Linked DNA regions of Xenopus tropicalis. The protein of the gene in region 3 interacts with the protein of the main gene of each other region in a pairwise test. Links are inferred from orthologs where the notes say so. Each region holds a gene or a part of one and is shown on either strand. Other genes may lie near its edges.

The links.
Region 1: the proteins of tle5 (region 3) and mtus2 interact in binary tests that used the Homo sapiens proteins (3 or more experiments, as listed by UniProt). The two-hybrid records come from large-scale screens. The link is inferred for Xenopus tropicalis from reciprocal best matches to the Homo sapiens genes TLE5 and MTUS2.
Region 2: the proteins of tle5 (region 3) and mlx interact in binary tests that used the Homo sapiens proteins (3 or more experiments, as listed by UniProt). The two-hybrid records come from large-scale screens. The link is inferred for Xenopus tropicalis from reciprocal best matches to the Homo sapiens genes TLE5 and MLX.
Region 4: the proteins of tle5 (region 3) and cib3 interact in binary tests that used the Homo sapiens proteins (3 or more experiments, as listed by UniProt). The two-hybrid records come from large-scale screens. The link is inferred for Xenopus tropicalis from reciprocal best matches to the Homo sapiens genes TLE5 and CIB3.
Region 5: the proteins of tle5 (region 3) and golga2 interact in binary tests that used the Homo sapiens proteins (3 or more experiments, as listed by UniProt). The two-hybrid records come from large-scale screens. The link is inferred for Xenopus tropicalis from reciprocal best matches to the Homo sapiens genes TLE5 and GOLGA2.
Region 6: the proteins of tle5 (region 3) and u2af2 interact in binary tests that used the Homo sapiens proteins (3 or more experiments, as listed by UniProt). The two-hybrid records come from large-scale screens. The link is inferred for Xenopus tropicalis from reciprocal best matches to the Homo sapiens genes TLE5 and U2AF2.
Region 7: the proteins of tle5 (region 3) and nab2 interact in binary tests that used the Homo sapiens proteins (3 or more experiments, as listed by UniProt). The two-hybrid records come from large-scale screens. The link is inferred for Xenopus tropicalis from reciprocal best matches to the Homo sapiens genes TLE5 and NAB2.

Annotation. Positions count from the first base shown.
Region 1 is NC_030678.2:154,747,922-154,751,991, reverse strand, and holds the start of mtus2 (microtubule-associated tumor suppressor candidate 2), read left to right. Parts: upstream 1-1,270; 5' UTR 1,271-1,588; intron 1,589-4,070. UniProt on the Homo sapiens protein: Binds microtubules. Together with MAPRE1 may target the microtubule depolymerase KIF2C to the plus-end of microtubules. May regulate the dynamics of microtubules at their growing distal tip.
Region 2 is NC_030686.2:6,137,877-6,141,078, forward strand, and holds the end of mlx (max-like protein X), read right to left. Parts: intron 2,856-3,202; coding exon 2,756-2,855; intron 1,553-2,755; coding exon 1,351-1,552; intron 998-1,350; coding exon 941-997; 3' UTR 501-940; downstream 1-500. UniProt on the Homo sapiens protein: Transcription regulator. Forms a sequence-specific DNA-binding protein complex with MAD1, MAD4, MNT, WBSCR14 and MLXIP which recognizes the core sequence 5'-CACGTG-3'. The TCFL4-MAD1, TCFL4-MAD4, TCFL4-WBSCR14 complexes are transcriptional repressors.
Region 3 is NC_030677.2:114,608,411-114,611,910, forward strand, and holds part of tle5 (amino-terminal enhancer of split), read right to left. Parts: intron 2,898-3,500; coding exon 2,835-2,897; intron 356-2,834; coding exon 281-355; intron 1-280. UniProt on the Homo sapiens protein: Transcriptional corepressor. Acts as a dominant repressor towards other family members. Inhibits NF-kappa-B-regulated gene expression. May be required for the initiation and maintenance of the differentiated state.
Region 4 is NC_030677.2:104,261,276-104,265,242, reverse strand, and holds the start of cib3 (calcium and integrin-binding family member 3), read right to left. Parts: upstream 2,801-3,967; 5' UTR 2,513-2,800; coding exon 2,462-2,512; intron 1-2,461. UniProt on the Homo sapiens protein: Acts a an auxiliary subunit of the sensory mechanoelectrical transduction (MET) channel in hair cells. Plays a role in regulating hair cell MET channel localization and function.
Region 5 is NC_030684.2:22,913,211-22,916,710, reverse strand, and holds part of golga2 (golgin subfamily A member 2), read left to right. Parts: intron 1-1,565; coding exon 1,566-1,653; intron 1,654-1,768; coding exon 1,769-2,115; intron 2,116-3,113; coding exon 3,114-3,227; intron 3,228-3,318; coding exon 3,319-3,500. UniProt on the Homo sapiens protein: Peripheral membrane component of the cis-Golgi stack that acts as a membrane skeleton that maintains the structure of the Golgi apparatus, and as a vesicle thether that facilitates vesicle fusion to the Golgi membrane.
Region 6 is NC_030683.2:104,041,734-104,045,907, reverse strand, and holds the start of u2af2 (splicing factor U2AF 65 kDa subunit), read right to left. Parts: upstream 2,801-4,174; 5' UTR 2,786-2,800; coding exon 2,737-2,785; intron 1-2,736. UniProt on the Homo sapiens protein: Plays a role in pre-mRNA splicing and 3'-end processing. By recruiting PRPF19 and the PRP19C/Prp19 complex/NTC/Nineteen complex to the RNA polymerase II C-terminal domain (CTD), and thereby pre-mRNA, may couple transcription to splicing.
Region 7 is NC_030678.2:139,231,720-139,235,723, forward strand, and holds the start of nab2 (NGFI-A-binding protein 2), read left to right. Parts: upstream 1-1,204; 5' UTR 1,205-1,559; coding exon 1,560-1,612; intron 1,613-4,004. UniProt on the Homo sapiens protein: Acts as a transcriptional repressor for zinc finger transcription factors EGR1 and EGR2. Isoform 2 lacks repression ability.

The DNA.
Region 1 (4,070 bases), on a different chromosome or scaffold from region 3:
TATTGGTGGAAATCCTATTGGGTTTATTTAAAGTTTAAATGATTTTCAGCAGACTTAAAGGAGAAGGAAAGGTAAAAACTAAGTAAGCTTTATCAGAAAAGTCTATGTAAATACAGCCATAAGCACTTACAGTAATGCTGCACTGAATTCTCTGTCAAAAGATTTCTCGAGTCTGTAATTAATGAGAGACACGCAGCTCTCTGCTCTCTCCCCTCTCCTGCTTCCCCCTCCCTCAAGAATGCTAAGAACTCACTCCCACCGAACTCACTCTGTATAACAGATCCTATGCCTATACTAAGTGTCGAATCCACAACCCATGCAGGGGCCCCTGCAGCAGCCCCCACAACACCTGCAGGGGGCGCCACCTGCCCAACCCCCCTCCACCGAGCACCCATTAATTAAGCTTAACTTCAGCGCATTGGGGGAGGGAAATAACTGGACTAGGGGTGCTCCGGTGGGGATTGGGTCTGGGCCGGCAGGGCCCACTGGCTCAGTCCGACACTGCTTACACTAAACCCAAGAAGTAAGCATCCAGCACTCTACAGGACATGGGATGGATGTCATTCCAGGGTGTGACTATGACATCAGGGAGTAGGGTTATGATGTGGCAATCAGTGATTGGCTGATCATCACACCATTTAATTTGAAGTCCTGTCCAGATTTCCTAATTTAGTAGTTTTTACCCAAACAGTATCGGAAAACTGGGCTGCCTGGGTAAAAACTGGACAAGTGGCAACCCTACCCTACTTTACCTGTGTACCTTAAACAAAAACTTTAAAAGTTTTGGGCATCACATGTATAACATATGTTTATATAAAATATCTACACTTTGTAAACAAATGCTGGCAATTAGTATGTATGAATCCATTATAATAAAATAGCAATAGTATATACCCTGCTAATGCTCTGTCTCCTTGTCCTTAACTGACCCCATTATCCCAGTTTATTCCTAGCGCAGCTGCTAATAAGGTCGCCTCAGCAGCTACCTGGCAGCCATTTATTAACTGGGGACTGTTACCCTCACCAGACACATCCAATAAGTGTCAATATCGATGATATCTATAGAAGTGTGCAAGGATAGAGACTAAGGATACAGAGAGCAGCCACAATAAAAAGAAGAGATAAAGGAACAAATCTCTATCCTGACTCCATTCTCCCATCTGCTCTTTTCTGGTTGGTTTACCCGAGCGCAGTTCCCAGTAGGGCCAGCAGAGGGCGCCGCGGCTCCCCAATCGTAGTATAAACAGAGAGTGCTGATGCAGCCAGCGGATTCGCTCGGGATGAGCGAGGTTGGACCCGTCGCAGCTGCTTCTTTGCATCCTCAGGGTCGCTGGTCAGAGATACTGCAGGCTGTGGATGCGCTTAGGAGCGAACTCTCCCCTCTGTGACACTGCGTTAGATTGGGAGCAGGAGGGCAGCAGGGGAATAGCCCCAGCAGCAGCAGCCCCAGCAGCATCTCCCTGGAACCCTCCGGCGTGGGCTCTTTGTCTGTGCAGGGAAGGGGGCGCCTCCCCCCAAGGTAGAGATCCCCTCTCCGGAGCCCTCACCCACTGGCTGGGCACTATGCGTGGGAGCAGCACAGGAACAGGTAAGGGCATGAGTGGGAAGGGGAGGCAATTCCAGCATTTGCTTCAGTACTGGGGGCAACTACAGGGGCTGCAGTGCATACAGAGCATGAAGCATCCTCAGTCTGGCACAACATCCCTTTTACTTTTATACTGAGAAGTGGTACCTTGTACTTCAGCACCAACACCTAAACCTTAATGGGTTATGTATAAAGGTCCAGTCCCTGGGCCAGTACATCAGGCTATATAGTGTATTGGCTTAGTAAGATGAGGTGTTATTGTGGCCCCTTGATATTATGGTAAATGACTTCTGGGCAGAAGTGTGTTCCCTGCCTGTACCTTATATGTACAGCCCTATTCTATGTTTCACTTAGGGAGCCGGGGTCCCCCAGCTGTTATTAAATGATATGGACAGCACTCCCCTATTCATACAAGAATGGCTATGGCAAATAGCAGTGTAAGCACTTACCCTTTACACTGCCCTTAATAGTCACTTTTTTGAAACTTGAAGAGAGTTATATAAGTGTATAAATATTTGTGTACATTTGACTCCATATTGCAACATTGTTTACTATATATATATATATTTATAATATATATATATATATATATATATATATATATATATATACAGTATATATATATAGCAACATTGTTTGACTATATAGCAACATTGAGTGCAATTCTTATTGTATGTAAGTATAGTCCTAATTTACAAAAAAAGAGTTCTTAGATAAAAGGAAAGGGGAGAAGGTGATTATTTTTTGCATTTGGAAGTACTGAAGTGCGGAAGTACTGGAGTTGAGACAAATCCATAGTTTTATGTGGGAAGCTATTCAATAGGATTGACAAATCTACTCTTACATTTAATGGCTATCAGCATTTGCAGAGTTCTGTGATAAATAGACTCATCGATTACAGTGACACAAAGACTCATCTTGTTGGTTCTGTACTGTGAAATTAAAAGTTTCTGCATTCAGAAGGGAATGAGGAATACTTAGGGACAAGTTGGTTGTGCCGGAACTTGCATCAATGAAGTATCTCTTGTCACCAAGACAATACTGATAGTAATGCTTTCTGTTCAGTTTCACTTCCAGAGCCTACTGGAAGCTGTCATCTCCACTGCTACTATAGGCACCATCTCTCCCTACTATACCTGCTATCCCACAGCCACAGTCCCTTCCCAGAGGCTATTATCCCCCCACTGCTACTATAGGCACCATCTCTCCCTACTATACCTGCTATCTCACAGCCACAGTCCCTTCCCAGAGGCTATTATCCCCCACTGCTACTATAGGCACCATCTCTCCCTACTATACCTGCTATCCCACAGCCACAGTCCCTTCCCAGAAGCTATTATCCCCCCACTGCTACTATAGGCACCATCTCTCCCTACTATACCTGCTATCCCACAGCCACAGTCCCTTCCCAGAGGCTATTATCCCCCACTGCTACTATAGGCACCATCTCTCCCTACTATACCTGCTATCCCACAGCCACAGTCCTTTCCCCGAGGCTATTATCCCCTCACTGCTACTATAGGCACCATCTCTCCCTACTATACCTGCTATCCCACAGCCACAGTCTGTTCCCAGAGGCTATTATCCCCCCACTGCTACTATAGGCACCATCTCTCCCTACTATACCTGCTATCCCACAGCCACAGTCCCTTCCCAGAGGCTATTATCCCACTGCTACAATAGGCACCATCTCTCCCTACTATACCTGCTATCCCACAGCCACAGTCCCTTCCCAGAGGCTATTATCCCACTGCTACTATAGGCACCATCTCTCCCTACTATACCTGCTATCCCACAGCCCCAGTCCCTTCCCAGAGGCTATTATTAGTGATGGGCGAAAAGTTTCGCCAGGCATGGATTCGCGGCGAATTTCCGCGTTTCGCCATTGGCGGATTGTTTCGCGAAACGGATGAAAAATTTAACCACGGAAAAATTCGCCGCACGTCCAAAAATTGTCGCCGGCGTAAAAAAAGAATAGTCGCGGGCGACAAAATAATAGTCGCGGGCGACGAAACAATAGCGCGCGACAAAATAATAGCCACGGGCGACGAAACAAGAGCCGCGGGCGACGAAACAAGAGCCGCGGGCGACGAAACAAGAGCCGCGCGACGAAACACGAGCCGTGCGACGAAACAAGAGCCGCGGGCGACGAAACAAGAGCCGCGCGCGACGAAACAATAGCCGTGCGACAAAATAATAGCTGCGGGCGACTAAATAATAGCCGCGCGACAAAACAATAGCCGCGAGCGACGAAACAAGAGCCGCGCGACGAAACAAGAGCCGCAGGCGAAGAAACAAGAGCCGTGCGCGACGAAATAATAGCCGCGCGACAAAACAATAGCCGCGGGAGACGAAACAATAGCCGCGCGACAAAATAATAGCCGCGGGCGACAATTTTTTTTGTCGCACGACATTTTCGGCGTTTCGCGGATCTTTTCAAAGATTCGCGAATTTTTCGGCGAAGCGAAACGGAACAGATTCGCTC
Region 2 (3,202 bases), on a different chromosome or scaffold from region 3:
TAAATCTAACATTAGTGCTTATACAGAGGCAGAGCTATGGGATTGAACAGACTCGAAAAAGTTTTATATTTAAAAGGACCAGTTCTTTTTACCTCCTAAAATTCCAAACCGGAGAGCTGCTGAACAAAAAGCTAAACAATTCAAAAACTACACAATAAAAAATGAAGACCAATTGCAAATTCTCAATATATTACTCTCTACAGCATACTAAAAGTTATTTTAAAGGTGAACGGTCTGGGGTGTCAAGGGCCCACTGGGGCTGCCTCCCCACCCCAGACAGGAAGGTCCACGTACAGCACCCCCCTCCGCGATCAGGGTGGGAGCTCAGGCGCACTGAACGGGGCAAGTCCAGTTCCCGGCAGGGGCAGAAGAAGGAGAGGGCTGGGTCAGTGGAGGCGGCAGGGCCCACTGGGTTTTTTCCCCCGGTGTCCCACCGGCCCAGTCCGACCCTGTGTAAGACTGACAGAACCGCACACGGACATATCCAGTCACACAAAACGTTTGGGTTAAACATTCTGATTTTAATGGAAAGGTGCTGAACTAAAGGAAAATGTCAATGATTTTAAGACTCAATAAGCTGATTTATAGCACGAAACCTGAAAAAAAGAATAGAAATGAAGCCCCCCCCCCACTCAAGGAAACTGCAATAAAGTCACAAGCAAAAAACAAGTCTTTCTTCGGCCCTTTTGTCACTGATCAAGAATGGATCCGGAAGGCGCCGGTACAACATGTGCTGAATATGGCCTCACTCAGGCACCATAGTTCTGGATTTACACAAGGACACGCAGCGGCGCAATCAGTAGCAGAGGCATTGGTAAGAATTGGCAGTAGTGAGCAACGCAGAACCATCGGACACATTCGCGCGTCGCTTCTGGGCCGTCTGCACCGCTGCCAACTCCTTTGGCTTTTATCTCAGGAGAGACGGAAAGAGTTATGTCCCTTAGTACAGTGGGTTCTTCAGCTGGTGCAGGAATCTGATTACGATGTCTTGCAGCGTCTGAGGAGAGAAAGGGAAACGCTTATTATATAGAGAATAACAGCGCTGGTTAGCCTGGCGCAATGCATCTCGTGCTCATACTGGCATGGAAATCTTCCAGAAAATTCCCCTATGGTGCCTATAGCCCCCCAAACGGACCATGCAATTGATTCTCCCTATAAACACTAGCTAGTGTCCAATGCTCCTCGCTTGAGTCCCACCCCCTGGATTATCCCTCATCTACAGTCTTTAGGGCCATATTAATATATAGGCACCTAAGGGCCTGTGCCTAGAGAACAAATATATTTTGTTCTCATAACACAGAATTGGGCCCCAAGTGCACAGAGACCCAAAGCGAGACCTCTTTGCCGTACCTGGGGCTTGCAGTGCTCCTCTATCCAGGCAAATACGCATGCAGACAGCTCTTGAAAGCTGTTCACGGAAACAGAAGAGTTAAAGGTGTGAAACAGAGAATCCATGATGCCTTGGAACACCCTGAATTTCATCTCGTCCGGGACTTGATCCGTGCCCTCATGGAGATTGTTTTGATGAGCCTTTACGATCTGCTCGTAATTTCTGTAACATGGGATATATATCATCAATAGATTAAATGATAGAATAATATTAAAATAGTTTATTTACTGCTGCTACAGATGGATAGGTCTGAATATTCATTGCTTGTTGTTCAGCCTGACCCACGTAAGCACTTATGGAATATAGATTTGTCAGGTTATGAAATTGGTACAGGCTGAATTGAGCGGTTTATTTGGTTCATACTGCAGCCCGAGGTACTTCTGCTCTGTGTCTAGAACGAGGATCCCCAATGATTTTTTTGCCCCAGGAGCCACATTTAGATGACAGAAGAGTTGGAGAGAAACACAATCCTGCACAATACGCCTGGGGTGCCAAATAAGGGCTGTGATCGGTTATTTAGTAGCCCCTATGGGGACTGGCAGCCTACAGGAGGCTACTACTGTTTGGCAGTACACCTAACCAAAACTTACATCTAAGTCAGAAATTCTAAAATAAACACCTTCTTTGAGGTCACTGGTTGGGGACCACTGGTCTAGAAGATAGACTTTCTTATTTCTTGTGTTTCCATTTGGAGTCAACATGTTACTCACCAACCCCTTGGATGTTGCTCCCAGTGGCCCCCAAAGCAGGTGCTTATTTTTGAATTCCTGGCTTGGAGGCATAAAACAACAGATGTACTAATAAAAGAAAATCTCCTTTAGGCTGCCAGGCCACATAGGGACTACCAAATAACCAATCACAGCCCTTATTTGGCACCCCTCGGTGCTTGTGTCTTTTTTTTTTACATTTGAATGTAGCTCACTGGTAAAAAGGGTTGGGGACCCCCGTTATAGAAGTTGCATGATACTGGACTTTCTCTTCAACGTTATGGCATTTATTATAGGTTTCTGTTAGAGCCTCTTACCCTACCCATGTCCTGGCGAGAACTGACATATATAAACAATTATTCCTTTCCTTGTCCTGTATGTAGAAACTGCATATAAATAGATTCTACTCCAGTTTAAGCAGAGGGATTCTCTGTAAAGTTGTAATCTAATTATCTGCCTCACAAAGACCAAACATGGAAGAGCTTCAGTTTCCGTGTTTAGCTCAAGACAAAAACCACAGATGTTTTGTGATTAAAACAATAGGCACAAGCCCTTTCCATTGCACGCATGTTGCACAGGGGGGCACAATGTGAGCCAACCACAAACAGATTTTATTCACCCCCCTTCGTAAGCATTCAAATAGCAATGGATAGCTTACGATTTCATAATCTGCAAAGCCATGACCTCCTTCCGTAATGTGGACACGTCATCCTCCTGCTTCTTCTTCTCCTTATTGAGAAACTGGATATAATCTATGGCTGTAGGAAAGACAGGAAAATGGATTATGCCCTTGAGTAAAAAACACACATTACTATTCTTTCATGCTTTATTGCCCTTATTTTGCCCATTTATGAATTGCACCTCTTTCCCCCTTAGTTTACCGCAGTACAACACACCCACACCGTTACTGAACTGTCTGGAAATAAAATGTTTCCCGCTCCCGCTAACCTGCCCCCATTGGCCTATGGGCAGCTCTAATCATATAAAAATCAAGGCTTGATTCTCTATTAGTCTATACACGGCATAGGGTGTGGGGTTTTTTTGTAATAAATAATAAATGAGCAAGAAAAAAAAGTAAACGCATGCTGAAAATAACGGAGCCTTA
Region 3 (3,500 bases):
ATCTCCCATATTAAGGAAGAAAAAAAAATTGATAGGTAAAGTTCCATTCATACCAATAATAAACAACCGTACATCCTGAATGCAAAAGAATGTTTGCAACACTATATGGATTACATGAGCTGGTCCCTGAATAAATAACCACATGTTCATTGCCTCTGGCACTAGTGACTCAGGAGTACGGTCAACTATGGAATGGAATCTGTCTTTTCCACTGCCCCACCTCCGCAACCTGCTCTCCATTGTTTATGAATAAGGGCATGCCAAAAGTGTTCTCACGTACACGGATGATGGAGTTCAGCTCTGGAGCAGTCACTTGCTTTGCTCGCTCAATGGCTCCCAGGACTTGCTGCTGGTGCTTAGGAAAGATCAAAGGGTCAGAATTAGTATGAGGCAGTCATAAGTAACTCTTGCCAGCAAAGTAGTTTTTAACAGCATCTGTACATAAAGCTTGCTTTGTCACTGCTTTCAGCCAATACTGTTCTAGGGAGATTTGTCACCTAGCAAATCAAGTACAGCCAAAGATTCCCCATATTGCTGCTACTTTTTCTAGATCTGGCCAACCATTGCTTTTTTTCTTAAGCCCCCCTAAACCATTGTTCTCCGCAATAAAATCTAAGGAAACTGAATATTCTGTGCTGATAAAATCAGACATCTACATTTTGGAGTCAAATATATGTGGCACAGGCATATGTCACAAAACTGCCCTTTTTGGTTGCTGCCTTTAATGTACAGGTATAGGATCTATTATCAGGAATGCTTGGTAGCTGGGGTTTTCTGTAATTTGGTAAACCATACCTTTATTTCGCTTAAAAAGAGAATATTAAACAGTGGCATAACTACATGGCACCAAGCCCCCCTGCAATAAGTTTTTTGGATGGGCTTGGCGCTCACCCCAACCTGTACCTGCCAAACCTGTACCCCCCCATCGCTTCCCTCCCATATGTGTCTCTCACTCCCTGCCTGCTCTCAGGGAAATCTCTATAGCTACAGATGAAGTAGATCCTCTAGTTTGGGCCCGCCTGCCCCCACCGATAACTGCATGGTCTGTTTCCACCACTGACATTAAATAGACCCAATAAGCCTGATTTCCACCCGTTATCCAGAAAGCTTTGAATTTCCATTTTAATTAAATAATTCAGACTTTTTTTTTTTTTTTTTTAAATTCCCTTTTCTCTATAATATTAAAACAGTATCTTTTACTTGATCCCAAGAAAGATATAATTAATCCTTTCTGAAGGCAAAACCAATCCTATTGGGTTTATGTTTAAATGATTTTTTAGTAGACTCAATGTATGGTGATCCAAAATCACGAAAGACCCCTTATCGGGAAAACCCCAGGTCCTGAGCATTCTGGATAAAAGGTCCCATATCTGTATAACAAGAAATATACAGCTTTATAAATATACTATTTTTCCAATGTAAAATCATTTTACACAGCTTTAAATATTAAATAAATCTCAGAATGTAGGGCCTTCTACCCTGCTGCAGTATATAATTCCACATCACATGTAAGAAGTGATACAGGGCATGCTAATAACCATATGTTCAGTCTGCCTCTGACTGCATTTATCCTGTGGCTAGAACAGTCTTCATTTCCATAAGTAAATACACTGAATGAAGGCTATTCGGAGGCATTACAAAGCAGACATATTCCCTGCTATCTAAATGCAAATATCTATAGAATAAAAAGACACTAATTAGCCAGCATTTCACTGGCAAGTGTGTCAAAGTATCCTTATGGCTACCCTTGCGCTTCTTACATTTCTGTGGAGTTTCTTTCAATTCTTTATGGAATTTTCATAACTCAATTATCAATTGTCATCAAAATATAGCCCAAATAGAAATAGCCAACACTTAGATTTGTTTCTCTGTACTAATGTCAATGGTTTTATTTGAAAAGCTGATTGCAAATAGCTGAGCTATAGTTTTCTGCATCCTCAGAAATTAAAAACAATTATGGGATGAGGCGATTGTGAATTCCTTGACTTTGCCCCTGGCAGAGTAACTATGCTTGGATTTACCATTAAGGAAAGGGGAAGACATTGTATTACTGCTACCCCTTAGCAAGGGGAATGAATATCTAAAGCTGTGGGCTACAGTTCTTAATTTTTTTTTTTAAAGGAAGATTTCCCACTTGCCCCAGACATCAGAATCAAGGGTGGCTTAGTGTGTTCAATGATCATTTTATTTCTCAAGGATTGGCATTTATATGTGAGAAACACCAAGTTGTGAGACAAGCTCTGGGGCACTCCTGATAAACAAGAATAGAACAATCTGTTTATGGAAACCAGATAGATTTTTTTTTTATTTGATTTCCAGAAATTACTACAGCCAAGACAAACAATATAGAAGATTCTAATGTGTTCAAAGGCAACTAAAACCTTCATAAACATTACTTTAATTAACATAAGGCTGCTTCCCAGAGCTAGCAGTCCTATGCCACTGAAGACAAAGGCCCGAAACATTACATTCTGAAATCCCCCTGAACTGGCACCTCCCCCAATAGAGGAAACGGCATATTACCAGTTGGCCTGGCTCACATGCTCAGTACTGACAAACGCTGGTACCCTGCAATGCTTCAGAATGCTTAGGATGAAGTATTACAGTAAATAAGCAGGGAGCATGGCACCTCCATTTGGCAGTTTGGTGGGACCCCATAAATAGAAGCTCTACAGAAAATAATGGGCTTTATTAACTCTTGCATTTCTGTATTGTGGAATACATAAGAAAGCAATGGCACAGCAATGCATACTAAAGTGGTATAATCCTAATGGTTAGGCAGAAGAAATACTTTTCTCAGTCAGAAGGTAACTTTCAGTATATTGGGAACTTACCTCCTGTGAGAGATAAGGCAACACCTGTGCACAGATTCCATTTAAACGCTTCACTATTTCAGCCTAAGTTGGAAAAAAAGGAGAAAAAAAATTATTGGGAAAATGCAGCTATAAGTTTGGAATTATGACTTCTATATAGTGCTCTCCATTATGTTTGAATGCCTGTGGGATTATTGAGTGTTTTATGAGAGTGAGATGCAGTAACAAGTTTAAGTAAAATCCGAAGGCCTGAAGTAAAGGCTTACACCGTCACTTTTTTGTCTAGGAAGACAAGAATTGGGAAAAGAGATATTTTAGAGTGCACAAGGCAGCATTACCTGGTACACCAGTCCAAGTCCTGACAACTAAGAGGTAGTACATGCCTATAAAATATTTTTTTTCAACATGAGTAAAAGTTATTTTTTATTACAAAGCAGTGATGGAAGTTTGCTTTCACACTTACAACCTTGCCATTAATTAGCTGAATTAGTTTAACTAGAGGGCACCAAGCTCTGTATAAACAACACCCTCCTTCACAATGTTGTTGTGACTGTCATAATAATATCATTATCGGTCATCATTTATATAGCGAGTTATGCAGCACTTCACATTAATTTATAACAAACAGGGATCTTACAATAATTTAACAAACAAGGGTTACACAGTAAAATGTGGATTAGAGGGCCC
Region 4 (3,967 bases), about 10 Mb from region 3:
TCTAAAGAGACTGTACCATGGAACTGTAAAGAGACAACAGTACTGGGTAAGGCTATGTAACTGGAAATGCAGGTTGATTGGAATATGCATAACCACTGAACTGGAAAAAGTAAGGCTTCATGACTTCACAGACAAAATAACATGCCCTAAACAGGTTGCTTATTTAACTGAAATTGAGTTTAGGTTGCAGGGCTGAAACTAATAGGACCAGGATAGGTAAGGCTACAGGGTTAAAGGGGTCATGTCACCCAGACATAAAAAGCTGTACAACATTATAAATAGCATGCAAAGACAATGTTATGATAAATATAAAAAAAGGTTGCATTTCTGGTGTCAGTATCTCTATAATAACAGTACCCACAAAATAGTGCCTGCCTACCTGCTATGATTGTCAATTCCAAGACTGAAAAAAACAACATTTAAATAATTCATACAGTGTAAATCAAGTTTATTTTACTCAACTAGGTCCCCTTTAAGGTTGCAGGACTGAAATGGCTAAGACAGCAGGAGTGAAACAAATAAGGTTACAGAAATGGAACAGATAAGGCTCTGGAAAGCAGATAGGGACTGAAGGCTGAAGGACTGGCAGGACCATAGGGGTGTAAAAGATGAAGCTACAAGTGCCGAAGGACTGCAAAAGGCAAGGTAAGGCTACTTACTGGGCTGAAACCAATAAAGCTTTAGAAATCATAAAGGTAAGGCTGAATGACTGGGTTAGGCAAAAGACCAGAACTGTACCAGGAAAGGGTTTACCCTTTAGAGGCAAGCCTAGAGGACATGATCAGGAAGGTTCATTATATTAGGTTAGGTCTCAAGACTGAATGAGGTAAGACTTTGTGACTGTAATGGGTATACGAATTGAAGGGGTATCAGAAACCAAGAAAACCAGGCCACAGGACTAGCATAGTATTGTAATGTGAAATCAGAATTACTTAACTAGGTTTGCATGTAAATCTTACTTTGCCCTTTATATTTGCTACCTAATCAGTGGATGACTAGCATTTTCAACAATGCATATCTAGTTATGTTGGAAATCACTTAATTATTGACTTCATGCAGACTAGATTCTAATAAAGGAATTGATTAATATATATTCCCTGGTCTTTATGTTTTACTAGAAATTTATTCTTTGTAAATGCATTTGTGTTTTTAAAGAATTGATTTTTGGCCAAACAATGAAAATTTTAAGACTGCCTTTTACATACTGGGTGGGGTGCTACAACCACCTGCAAATTAGGTCTTCGTTCTTGCAAAATAACTCCACTGAAATATATAGATACAGGGGGCTGTGATCAAAGTATAATGAAAATAGTACTGAGCAGCATTGGTCAGATCAGTAACACTTCCCTTACACTTTATCTGTTCGATAATTGGACTTGGAGTGCTACCACAACCCCCTGTATTTTTAACATTCTAAACTGCCATCCCTATTGAAGAAATAGTAATTTTTGTTGTTGTAATCGTTACACTTCAATCATTTTTTGTCCTAAAGTAGTTTTTCTATCCAATAAGATATATCTATACAGCACATATTTGAGTTCTAATCTACGGCTCCATTTAGCAAAAGTATAAATGAGTGATTTTTAAGGCTCTTGGCAAACAGAGTGCTTTATATCCATATTTCTGCCTACTGAGAAATCTCCCACCTACTCTAGTACTGGCCATTTTCATTCTTAAAATGCACCCTAGAGCATTTTAGGTTAAAAAACCTCCAGTATTGGCAGTGTCAGGGGGTCATTATTACAAATAATGGAATGCACCTAGGGCAGTTTGGGCACTTCTCTGCTGGCTGAACTATGTTCGCTAAGAAAATGCTCCATGTGTAATCAGCCTAAAATGATACATAGGTTTTACATGTAGGTATGCAGTGTTTTGGTCTTCTAAGGCTATACTTGAATTATGCCAGCTTTCAATATTTCAGTTTTTTGTAAAACAGGGACAAGAAACCTAAAGCTGGTATACTGATGCTTTCAACTTTTCCTTTGAAAAACTGCAATGGAGCATATGTAAATAAATAACAAACTCTGTAAAGTGCGGCAGGAATATGTTGAGGTTATAAAAATAAAGAATAGTATATTTTTAAAAATCCTAAAATGATGGAGCTGCTACTTAAATGCTAAGCACTGTATATACCATTTTCTAACCTAGAAAATCACAAGTGGACTTGAATCTTTATAGTACACTTGTGAACATGTCTGATTAATGTATAAAGATGGGAAAAAAACAATATTTAATATAAATATTAACAATGATATATCACAGTCTCTCTGTTGTGGTGTGGCATTTAAAATACATAAAAAAAATTACTATTGGAAAATAGATAAATCTTGGTTTATATATATAAATAGCGCCATTTAGCATCTAAGGAAAACCTTTGCCTTATGCAAGAACTAATACTTAAGTTACCAAACACATGAAACAAAAACCTTCTAGTTTTAGAAAGTAAGAGTAAGAAACTTACTTGGTATGTATCAAGCTGTTCAGCAGTGAAAATAGTTTGCTTATTCCCCATGACTTTAGGGAGCTCCTAATCCAAATCCCCTTACCATTCTTCTGTTGTTCTGTTTTTATACTGTCCCTGAATATTGAGATATTAAAAGCCGCAACAGCAGGGGTCAGGCACAGGGAAAGATCGGATGTCACTATCTTATTCTTCCTACTTTTCAGGATCATAATAGGAGCATTTCATCAAATCTTTGATGTGTATAAAGAACTCATGCGCATAAGGCTTCCACCATCATTCAGGAGCATACGCATAAAGTACTATAATTACACCATCTGTTGCATGTCCAACATAAACTCATATTACACCATCTAACATGACTATTGCTAAAGGAGGACATTGCCTTTTTCAAGTTCAGTGACACATGAAGAGAAAGTACTACTGGAAAAAAATATGTTTGTCAAAGCATTTAGGGGCTGGTACATGTCTAAAAGCAGTTTCAGAGGCAATTTGTCTCCTACATTGCTATACCCAGTAGGGATGCACCACATAATTTATCTTTAGGTTTGACTGAATATACTGGGTAAAATGGATAAAAAATATTTCTAATATTGTTAGTTAGACAAAAATGTAATCTATAAAGGCTGGAGTCAATAGATGTCTAACATAATAGCCAGAACACTACTTCCTCCTTTTAGCTCTCTAACTTCTTAGTTAGTCAATGACTTTAGGGGGGGGCACATGGGACAGTAAACTGTTCAGTTAGTTTGTGAGCACGCTGGTCAGATTCAACTAATTAACTAAACAGTTATGTCCCATATGCAACTCCCCCATCAAATTACTGATTGGTTGCCTTTAAAGATTACATTTTTTCCGAACTATGTTGAAAACATTTTTTATTTTGCGCAATCTATCTATTTTACCCAGTTTCATTTTTACACTGAACTGCTATTTTAAGGGGTGAGATTTAGTTTGTCTGAATACTATGGGGCAGATTTATGATTGCTCAAGCCTTTCGGCTCCAGCAATCATAAAAAGCCCCATGTGGGTTAAGGAACTCACACAGGGCTTCAGGGGAAAAAAGGCTTGCACAATCATAAATCTGCCCCTCCAGGTTAGAATCACAGTCCACTTGAATACAGTGAACTTATTTCAGTAAAAGCCATGCTGGAATTAGTGGTGTGACTACAGCTGGGGCAGGGGGTATAAATGCAGCAGGGCCTGTCCCACAGGGCCCAGCAGCATGCATTATCGCTATAGGGATGGCAGGTAGGGTGCTCATTTAGTGGGGTGCATTGCAGATGGGGGCCCAATTGCAATTTCTTTAGGCTCAACACTGACTGCAATCCATAATAAACTCTCAAACAGAATAACACCCTACACCACATCCCAGAAAATATAAACTAAGCAAAATAAAGTATGTTAGCAGCACAGTATATAATTGTCAAGATGCATATTTGCACCAGGGCAGTTTTGAGCAGATCAGCCTTTTCTCTACTGGCATATCTACTCCAGACAAAAAAA
Region 5 (3,500 bases), on a different chromosome or scaffold from region 3:
GTGATATAATAAATAAATACAATAAACAAGTGCCCCGTAGAGCTTACAATCTAAGTGGTTGGGTAACATACAGGCACAAACTGGAAGGTAAGAGTGCACCAGGTATAAAAAATAATGTTTTAGTGCTCCAGAAGGTAACAGCTGAGTTTTTTCTTAAAGAGAGTGGGTGAGTGTTCCCTACGGAGGGATTCAGGGATAGAGTTCCAGAGGTAAGGAGCAGCGAGCTAGAAAGGTTTAAGACGAGAGAGCGCAGTGGATGTGGATGGTGTAAAAAGACGGAGGCTCTGAGAGGACCGGAGGAGACGACCAGGAACATGCAGGGAGACCAGTGAAGAAATGTTGTGAGGAGCAGAGGAGTGAAGGTCTTTGAATGTTAGTAGAAGGATTTTGTAAGCTATCCTTTGTTTAACAAGCAGCCATGCTAGAGAGCTTAAGTGAGGCTGAACAGGTTCCCTCTTCGGATAGAGCAGGAGGATCCTGGCAGCAGAGTTTAAAATTGATTGCAGGGTAGAGAGGTGGGAGTCTGGGAGGCCGGTTAGTAGGATATTGCAGTAATCTAAGTGGGAAAGGATAAGGGCATGTATTAGTGTTTTAGCTGTTACTTGTGAAAGAAAGGGGCGTATCTTGCAGGGCTGTGGAGTCGGTAGATAAATTCTCTGACTTTGACTCCGACTCCTCAGTTTCTGATACTTCCGACTCCGACTCCTCTGTTTTTAATATGCTAATGTATTTTATACATTCATTGAAGGAAAGGAAGGAGACATACATGTCATTTAACCACAGAACTACTGGCTAGGAAGCCAACACTCTACTGTATTGCCCAATTAAAGCAAAAGACAAACACAATGAAAACAACAAGGTTTTGTTTATTTTTTTTTTTAAACACGTGGCTGGATAGTAATAGCTGGCATAAAAATCAGGAACAGCAACTTTACCAGTTCAAAACAAACCACATTCTTTGGTAGTTTTAAGTTAAAACTAACTCAACGTGTCACTCAACGTGTTCGTTTATGCACTGCGTGCATTGGGCTTTATTCTTATAGCAGAGAAGTAATTAATTATGACTGTTTCTGAATTGGGACATTTAAACTTGCTTTATTTTATTTTTTTTTAATTCCCATTTAAATTTAGTAGGAGTCGGTTCATTTTTTGCCGACTCCCGACTCAAGGTACCCAAAATTGCCTTCGACTCCACAGCCCTGGTATCTTGGCAATATTGCGGAGGAAAAAACGGCAGGTTTTGGCAGTGTTATTTATATGGTTAGAGAAGGAGAGTGACTGGTCAAAGATAACCCCAAGGCAGCGTGCAGAATTTACAGGGTTGATGGTCATGCCATCAATAGCAATGGTGAAAGGAGGAGGAGGGCCAGGTTTGGGCGGGAAGACCATTAGCTCTGTAAAAGAGGGGAAAAACCTGCAACCCCAGAATTTTAAAAAAAAATGTGGGAACCCCACAAAAATACAATCTACCTTTTTAAGTAATAAACTCCTCTATGTAGAAATGTAAGTAATTTTAATATATGGAATCTGAAGCTGCAGTTAGAATGCTATTCTCTCATTTCCAGATCCAGACCTTGGGCCAAGAGAAACAGACAGCTCAGGTACAGGTAGAACAGTTGGAGACCAGGGTGACAGAGCTCCTGCTGGCATCAGGTATGTGCATGGAAGGAAACAAAGATGTCTTCACAATGAATATAGTCCCACACCAGCTTGGTGATGCTCTGCTTCACATGTTCCTTTGCCTTAATCCACTGCTTTGCTATTTCAGCTGCTGAACCAACAGACACTGAGCCCACACCCCCTGCCGGACCCTCTGAAACTGAACTGGCCCTCCACCAAGAGGTGGATCAGCTACAGCAGAATTTTAGTGATCTGCAGGCAAGGTATCAGGCCCAGGTGCAAGACAACAGTCAGCTGAGCCGGCTGAACCAGGAACAGGAAGAGCGGCTACTGGAACTGGAGAAGACGTTACAACGCCAGAGTGAAGAAAACGTAGACAAGCAGCAGATCCTGGAAAACATGCAGAGCGATAAAGCCACCATTAGCCGGGCACTGACCCAGAACAGGCAACTGAAGGAACATTTGGCCGAGCTCCAGAATGGATTTGTCAAACTGGTAGGCATGTCTCCCTATATGAGCTCTTATCGTCTCTTCTGTCTGAATTGCATCTTAAGGAAGCTATAAGATGTAGCAGAGCTGCTCATGGAGAGCAGCTGCTTCTCATTCTTGTCCTTTTTTTTCTCTCAAGTCTGAACCCGGAGTCTAAAGTTGGACAGAACAGCTGCATCAGCCTTATTGGTTTTAAAGGAGTGGTTCACCTTTGAGTAAACTTTTAGTATGTGATAGAATGTCCTATTCCTAGCAACACTGCATTTTTCGTTATTTATTTACTATATTCTTTCAAATAGGGGCCACTGACCTCGGCAGTTAAAAACTATAGCTCTGTGAGGCTACAGTTTTATTGTTATTGTGACTTTTTATTCCTTGTCTATTTATGAGGCCTTACCTGGTTGCTAGGGTAAATAACACCCTAACAACCAGATATTCACTGAACTGGAAAGCTGCTGGTAACTATTTAACAAGTTAAATAGCCAAAAAAACCATACAAAATCAAGACCAATTGCAGAATATCAATATCTACATCATCAAACTAAAAGTTTATTTAAAGGTGAACTACCCCATTAAGGGGCTGGGGGACAGGTCAGGTCCATTTAGTTATAACCTGCATACATAACATCAATAAGGAAATGAACATCACAGTGCAATGCATTGTGGGTTATGTAGTACCTGCATGCTGTCTGTAAGTTGTGGAGAAGTTGTTACAATTTGTGACATCAATGTTTTAGTCCCCCCTTTCCTGGCAGGATTTTAAATGATGCAGAAATAGGAACTGTTTGCATCTGGATTTCAGCATATAAAAATGGTATTTATTTATATAGGTTACAGTGATAGGTATATTAGGGGTTTCAGTGTTGTGTGGGGCTCTTTAAAACATTTTGGTACAGAAGCCAGAGTTCCGCTTTAGGTGTTTGCTTTGGACCTTCCATATATAACCCTGGTATGTCAATATATTGACTATGACTGATCCACTTACTATTCTGTAATTCTTTCAGACAAATGAAAACATGGAGCTCACCAATGCATTACAGAGTGAGCAGCATGTGAAAAAGGAGCTGGCCAAGAAGCTGGGGCAATTACAGGAGACCCTGGGCGATTTCAAAGAGCAGGTCAGCAATGGATGCAGTATCTATAAATGCTGTTTCATTGGGCTGTACATAGTGATACCAATTTGCTCTCTGTGTGTCCTTTCTTGACCAGCTGGCTGCAAAGGAGCAGGACATACAGATTCTGCAGAGTCAGCGAGATGAGGTCTCCGCTCACCTCCAGCAGTACAGTGCAGCATATCAGCAAGTCTCCATTGAGAAAGAGGAGATCCAGAGGCAGTATCTGCTGCAGGCTCAGCTGATGGACAGATTGCAGCACGAGGAGGTGCAGGGGAA
Region 6 (4,174 bases), on a different chromosome or scaffold from region 3:
GGGGGGCTAAACTGGTAATTCACAAAAAAATCTGTGTAGACCGTGCCGCCACGTATGCCATCCCACCGGCGATTTATATTTTTGCCGGTTGGATGTCATATCGGGGAGATTTTTCGTGGGCGACTTATCTCCCCGTGTACCAGAGCCCTAAGAAATAGGCTGATAACAGATTGCAATACCACTTGTATGTATGTATATCTTTATTTATAAAGCCCTACTTATGTAAGCAGCGCTGTACAGTACAATACCACTTTTTATCAGATTCTAACACGACTTAAGGTGGCCATACATGGTAAGATATTCTTGTTGGGAGAGATCGCCAAATGACTGGATCTCCTACCAATATTCCCTTATTCCATTAAAACCAATGAATTACAACTAAGGGTACAGGCACCGTAGGATTGACACGTAAGTCATCCCGCCAGTGATTTACATTCTAGCCGGTGGGATGGCATTTCAGGGAGATTAGTCGCCCGCAACAAGGAAGATTTGTCACGCTCCGACTAATATACTCCTGTGTCACAGTCCTTAAGCTACAATCACAGCATGGAAAAGAGCTAAAAGGATTGTGTAATCAAACGGGTAAAAAAGTGATTTGGTTTAAGTTTGCAAATTACCCAAACAGATGAGAAATCACTGAATAGTGTAGTTTTCCTGCAAATACAATCTGTATTTTGAGGATAATGCATCCAAACTGGAATGCACTAGTGACGCCCCAGATCAGTAAACAGCAGTGAAATGGCTGCATGCTGCAGGTTAGCCCAGGTATGCGCTGTAAGTTGGCAGGTTATGTTTGTTACAAAAGTAAACATTTAGTCATATTAGTGTATATATAAAAGTTTTTAAGTCAGGAAACTTTACATATCACACCAATGGTTTAGTTTAAAGGAACAGTAACATTAAAAAATAAAATAAGCTACGTGTATGTAGCTCTTAGACATGGATTCAAACAATGTGCCTTTTACCTTTTTCAGCTTGAATGGCTGTGCCTATGGCTACAGAGGAGCGTGTTTATATATAGTAGTGTTACTGAAGCAATCATCGGTTTTACCAGTGCAGGGCAACAGTACATTATAATGTAATTAATTGTTTAATGTAACTGTTGCTTTAATATCTAGGAATATCTGCTGGAATTCCCCTGTAAACACACACAAAGGCCCTTGATTTTAAACTCTCTGCATCTAAGAACCCTGAACTTGATCCAATGAAAGGTACACTAAGCCCCAAATCACCGGCTAAAATTATTTTATAAAATATTTAATACTGCAGTATGTTTAATACCCCAACATACATTGTGAAAGGCACTGGACCTTTATATCCAAACAATAGTACAGATAAAGGCTTGGTACAAGGTCTGTACAACTTGCATCCCTGTAATACCCCTTTACCAGACCTAGTCTGACCCTATATCACTGTGTTAAGTCCATTAAAGGAACAGTAACACCAAAATATGAAAGTGTTTTAAAGTAATTAAAATGTAATGTACTGTTGCCCTGCACTGGTAAAACTGGTGTATTTGCTACAGAATGCTCCTATAGTCTATATAAATAAGCTGCTGTGTAGCCATGGGGGCAGCCATTCAAGCTGGAAAAAAGGAGAAAAGGCACAGGTTACATAGCAGATAACAAATAAACTCTGTAGAATACAATGGCATTTTATCTGTTATCTGCTAAGTAACCTGTGCCTTTTCTCATTCAAATGGCTGCCCCCATGGCTACACAGCTGCTTTGCTTATATAAACTATAGTAGTCTTTCTGAGGCAAACACACCAGTTGTACCAGTGCAGGGTAACAGTGCATCATATTGTAATTGCTTTAAAACACTTTCATATTTTGATGTTACTGTTCTTTTAACATTGATTTAAACCCCCCATACACTGTACATCTGTGCTTAGAAACATAGTTCATACATTATCACCATGAGCTGAAACCAATCAATCATACTTAGTTGCAATACAAAATGGTGTCATGGCAAAATAAAAAAAACTTGCTTTGTAGATGAACAGGACTGCCCAATAGCTAGGCCTAATACATTGCTAACTGCATTATGGGGGCACTATGGGGCATTATGCCATGGGCTGGGGGTTCAAACTAAAGGCAGTTAGAGATTTGGGGAGAATGCTTATTTGCTATTCAAGATTCTCCCATAAGCTCATCCTGTAGGTTTATGATGTTTATGGATGAGCAAGTATTTATTGCCCTAGATATCCTCTGGACTATGGCTGATACCCCATATATGTTCCCCTGTATTATAACTTAGTATGTGGCCCCTGACCATAGCTTGCACCTTTAAAAATAAAAATAAATAAAGCTTGAACGGGAAAAAATTCTACGATCCATTTTAATTATTATTTAATGTTTCACACAAACTGGCCAGTGAATGGCGCTGTCTCATTGGGTGTATTGAGATTCAGCCCGATAGCGCCACAAATAAAGCCATACAAAGTAAGGTCGCTGGGTCGATCATCATATGTTTTTTAATCGGGATTATTTTAACAAATGAGGCCATGGCAACGCACAGCATAAAGGAAGGTATAAAGGAAGGTATAAAAGGGCAGAGTTGCAGAAGCGGCAGGCCGCCCCACGCCAGCGGGACCAGAACCTTCGGGCCTACCCAATGGGCTACGTAAAGAAAAACTCCGCCCCATCTAGGCCTCAACCGCGCACATTTCCCTCTTCTCCCGCCACGCCACATATTATACGGCCCCAGGCCGGCGGCTCCCGGGTTTCACCTTACCTTGCTTATTTTCATTCAGCTGCCGCTCAAACTCGTCGAAGTCAGACATGATGGCCGCGCTTTATTGTGATGGCGGCGGCAGGCCGTGTCCGAGCGCCAGTCCTGCACTCTCTTCTCGCGCTCTTGTTCTCAGAGGAAGGAGTGGGAGGAGGAAGGAGACAACGCAGTCGCAACACGCTTACCAACCAGCTTGGCGGCTTCCGGAAGTAGCGGGGCAGGGGCTTGTTAAGGATTCGCCCGCTTCCGGAAATGATTGGGCGGAGCTTACTATTTTCTCGGCTTCTTTTGAAAAGGGCTTTACTGAAGCGAGAAGACTTCCGGGAACTTCGACAATTTTCGTAAGTAGGGGGGCGTGGTTTATTCAAACATATATGTTTCGGACGGACATGAAATAGAGCCGGCGGAAGACGACGTTAATCCGGTCATTTAAGTTTAGAAGAAAAGGAGACATCGATGCAATTAAGGTGGCATGGCTAGCTGAGCGTGAGGCCTGTTAAAATTAGACACGGACATAAATAAAACATGTACATATGTCTCTTTGTAGGCGGTAAATACATATTGACGGTGTGTTCTCATTTGTAAGGACAGCCTCCTCCTGATTGGTGCAATACACGTGTTTTCAGGAAGCCCAACGTGCAGGGCCAATATGAGCGTTGTACTGCGATGTACCTCTCCTGTTTTATACACTTTGCTATGGGATCCGCAATGTGTTATCTTCCTCCAAATACTGTTTTGTTGCATTAAGAAAGAAAAGGGAACTTGCAGAGATGGATAGTCACATGTTACTTTAAAATATATACAATATTATGCCAAATAATTATACTAATCTAAATATAGATTATCCAGAGAGAATCCTCCCTCAGTCTTTTTAAAACTAAACTAAGATAGTACCTTTTGGAGCACTCACCCAGCACCTGATCTGGGGACTAGCACTTATATTGTAATGTTACCCACTGTGACCTACAGCACTTATATTTGCCGATTTGTGTCTGTAAGTTACCCTCCCATATAGATTGTAAGCTCTACGGGGCAGGGACCTCCGTCCTCTTGTGTCTTTGACTCTTTCAACTGTACCTTGTATTTATTGTTATACTTTGTATTTATTATTATCTTAATAACCCCATTTGTAATAATCTATTCTACTGTACAGCACTGCTTACATAAGTAGTGCTTTATAAATAAATAAAGATATACATACATATAGAAGGAATGTGCCTGAAAAAGTAGTGTTTTAGGCAGCCCATTCTTTTTTACTGGCCTATACTGACACAGGTTGATGTAAGTGCTGAACGCAGGTGGAAAGCAACATTATGCATCGGAGGGCCTCATACACAGGCAGATAAGCTGTCAAATCAGTCTGACTGGGTTAAATCACAGAAACCCCTAATCACTATAATCTGTTCTTTGATACCATTTTTAAATGTTGAAATCCAGTTGC
Region 7 (4,004 bases), on a different chromosome or scaffold from region 3:
TGTCCAGCCGCAGGCCAACAGTTGGACAGCCCTGCTCTAGATCATCTGAGAGTTATGCAAAAGGCTGTTATACCAGGGTCAGACTGGGGTATGCAAGACCCACCAGGACTGCTACCCCAGGGGCCCCGCCACCTGCACGATCACCCACTGCCAGCCACTCCCCCCGCGTGCCATATACTTTTTTTGCCTCGATTGGGGGAGAATTTTGGTGTCCCACCGGCCCAGCCCAACCCTGTGTACTCTATTGTCATATATTTTTTCAACCTCACCTCCAATGTTAATATATGAAACGCAGATGAAACCCTATTCTAATTTATAGGGTAGCACACATATCATTTACATGCTAATTGTGTAGCAGAATTTCATATTTGTTTTACATGCATTACCTGTCTAAGGGCAGTGACACACAGGGAGATTAGTCGTCACGCGTCAAATCTTCATTGTCACGGGCGACTAATCTCCCCGCAATGCCATCTCACCGCCTAGAATGTAAATTGCCGGTGGGATGGCATACGCGGCATTGCGGAGGAGGATGGCATTGCGGGGAGATGTCGCCCACGACAATGGAGATTTGTCGCAGCGCGACTAATCTAACTGATAAAATCATATTAAAATCACAAAGAATGACCTTGCAATGCGCCCAGATTAAATTTTCAGAGTGAACTGCATAAGGGATGTGCTGCAGGGCAGTGTTCCAGACATGGGAGCATATACCTGGAATGAACGACCAGTGAGCTTCCAGAAGATGTTAAACTTTACCTTCCACCAGCAGCTACTGGAGGAGGATGAGAGTTGTAGTTTATCAGCAACCAGATCTCTTCAGAGGCTGCTAAAGGTTTTGTGCTGCCCATGCAAGTGCAGCCATACTGTACAGTTCTTTAATAAATGCCCCAAGTTCCAAACCATTATCTAAAATATCCAGTAAGATTATCTCACAGTTGGCTCCTCTCTATCTGCAGCAGCAAAGGAACTATGATATCATGCTGCCTCTCTTGTGCGGGGCTGTGGTGTGTGGGCAGTTCCAGCACAGAAATGGTTATAGGAGGACCAGTCTTGCCTCTGTATTGTATTGCTGTTGTGATGGAAGCTTTAATGTGGCCCTTCCCCCAGTCCTCCTACACAGACCCTGACACACAGAGAAAGTCTCTCGATGCAATGTGTATGTGGGTGGGAAACAGCAGTGAGTGCTCGCCAACCCCAGGCAGGGAAGAACTCCTCTAAATCAGTAAGTTAGAGACACAAAACAATAGTACTGACTGGAAAAGGCAGGAGCCAGGAACAGAGGTGAAGGACATAAGCTAAGAGATACGGGACAGATGTGTGAGACACTACATGAGAAGAGTGAGAGGCTGATTTGAAATATGGTCGGAACTGACTGAAACTGAAAATAAGCAATTAAATCCCAAGGCAAAGCCTGTTAAGAGCAGAGGCAGGAACAGGACAGGCCAATGAAAAAGCAACATCAATTAAACAACTGAATTGAGCTGTCACTTTCCTGGGGAAACTTTTGCTCAGACTCCTTGGTTATCCTGTGGCACATGCAGAAGAATTCCCTATACATGGCAGAGAGAGGTGCAAGAGCAGAAGAACTGAAACGACCGCCCAAAGCAAGGCACGTAAGTTAGCCAACAAATGGGTTAATATGGAATGGTCACGGTCATTGTGTCATTGCTTGATAACTTTAACAGTGTGGAATGCACTGTCAGTGGGTCCCAAACCTTTTTTTTCCAGTTGTGCTAACAGTCATGGTCATTTACAGTACGGGCAAGCAAGCACCCAGGGCTCTCAAGAGCATGAATTAGTAAACTTTGGACACTTAGATGTTGAAGAACTTCACCAGCATTCTTCCAATCAAACAACTGGAGGTGATGTTCTGCAATGTCTGAAGTGCCCAGGGTTGCATATTCCTGCACTGGATCTTTAACCAATCATTTTATAGGTCAGTCCTGGTCTGAGGTGAGAGTTCCTAGCACCTGTTTGTATATCCAAAAAAGTATGTAATGAAATGTGATGCTGGAGGTTTGAGAACTGCTGTGCTTAACTGATGTACGCTACATTGATGGGGGCATTTGCCATGTTTTGTACAGTAACTTGTATATACCAATGATACCAGCAATAGTGTAGAGGGGATTTCTTTTCTTTTTTATGTTGAAAATATAAATAAAAAGTTTCAGTGTGTGCTGAACCTATAGGGTCCTCTGTTAGAACTCAACCAGGACGCCCATTGAATGTTCTCCCCATACTTGTGTAGGTTTTCTCTGGGTGCTTTGGTTTCCTCCCACACCCCCAAAACATAAAGGCAGAATAATTGCTAACAGGTACCTAATTCTCTAAGCTCCATCGGACTGTTGAGAATGGTTAACAATCTCTTAACTGTCAAATGTGCTGCACCATATAGATAGTAGTCTAATAACCTGTAAATCCTATGGTGCTATTTCAAAGACCTGTTGTTTAATGTTCACAATGCTCATTGTGAATAAGTCATGGAAGGAGGTTGAGAAATGGGCTATTCAGACACAATTGTGAAAACATTTTTTGTATTACTTGTTTTTGTGCAAAAAAAGACTAATATGTTATATAAAAAGAGTAATACGTGTAAAATTGCTTCGTTAGTATATTGAGATCATCTTTTTCAATTCACAAGGGAGGATACCAGGGAAAGTTAGTACAGGTATAGGACCCATTATCCAGAATGCTCTGGACCAAGGGTATTCCGGATAAGGGGTCTTTCCGTAATTTGGATCTCCATACCTTAAGTCTGCTAAAGAATCAACAAAACAATAATTAAACCCTATGGGATTGTTTTGCATCCAATAAGGATTATTTATATCTTAGTTGGGATCAATTAAAAGGTACTGTTTTATTACTACAGAGAAAAAAGGAAATTAGTTTTAAAATTCTGAATTATTTGATTAAAATGGAGTCTATGGAAGACGGGCTTTCCGTAATTCGGAGCTTTCTGGATAACGGGTTTCCGGATAAGGGATCCCATACCTGTACAATGAATGTGTGACTATATTTGTGTTTGCTTGAAGAAGACTGGCACCTACAGAGCAATGGGAAGTAGTGGCATTAAGCTCAAACTCGGCAAAATGGACCAAAATAAATGCATTTTGCTCTAATTCTTGTTTGTAATAGAAGTAATTATTAAAGGTAACATTTACAGCACTTCTAGAACAACTTTATCAGAACAACTAAGATCATTACTAAAAGCACTCTGTCATAAATATGTAAAAGTAACTATCACCAGCGTATATAGGCCATGTACTCTTCCTTTCTCTGGCATCTGGATGTTGGATATGATCCAAGAAAAGACTGCATTACAGGTCTTCTGGTTATATCTCTTTCTGTGGATGCAATTAAAACATTTATATAGGGAATAATGTATCCCCTACTGTAAAATAAAATTATATAAGAATTCACTGAAGAACTCCATGACAATATAAAGCACAGGGTCTCAGTCTTAGTGCTTTTAGTGTATACAGGTATGGGATCTGAAACCCCATTATCCAGAAAGCTCCAAATTATGGGAAGGCCATCTCCCACAGAGACTATAATAAGCAAATAATTCAAATTTTTCAAAATGAAATCCTTTTTCTCTGTAAAATAAAACCCTTTTTCTCTGTAATAATAAAACAGTACCATGTACTTGATCATAACTACAATATCATTAATCCTTACTGGAGGCAAAACAACCCTATTGCGTTTAATTCATGTTTAAAATATTTTTTAGTAGAAAGATCCCTTATCTGGAAAAACCCAGGTCCAGAGCATTCTGGATAGCAGGTCCCATACCTGTACTGTTCAGGCAACTCCAAGTTGATTCCTTATAGCCTTAATTTAGAAACAAAGTTTCAGTGAGTCAGTTGGGCCTGATTCTAACTGATGACATCACTATACACTGTTTATAGGGCTATATTTTTACTCATTACTAGTGTATTATAAAGAAATAATGTCTCCTGCCAAATAAATGTAGTGATATCTCAATTGGCTCAGGTCTGTGT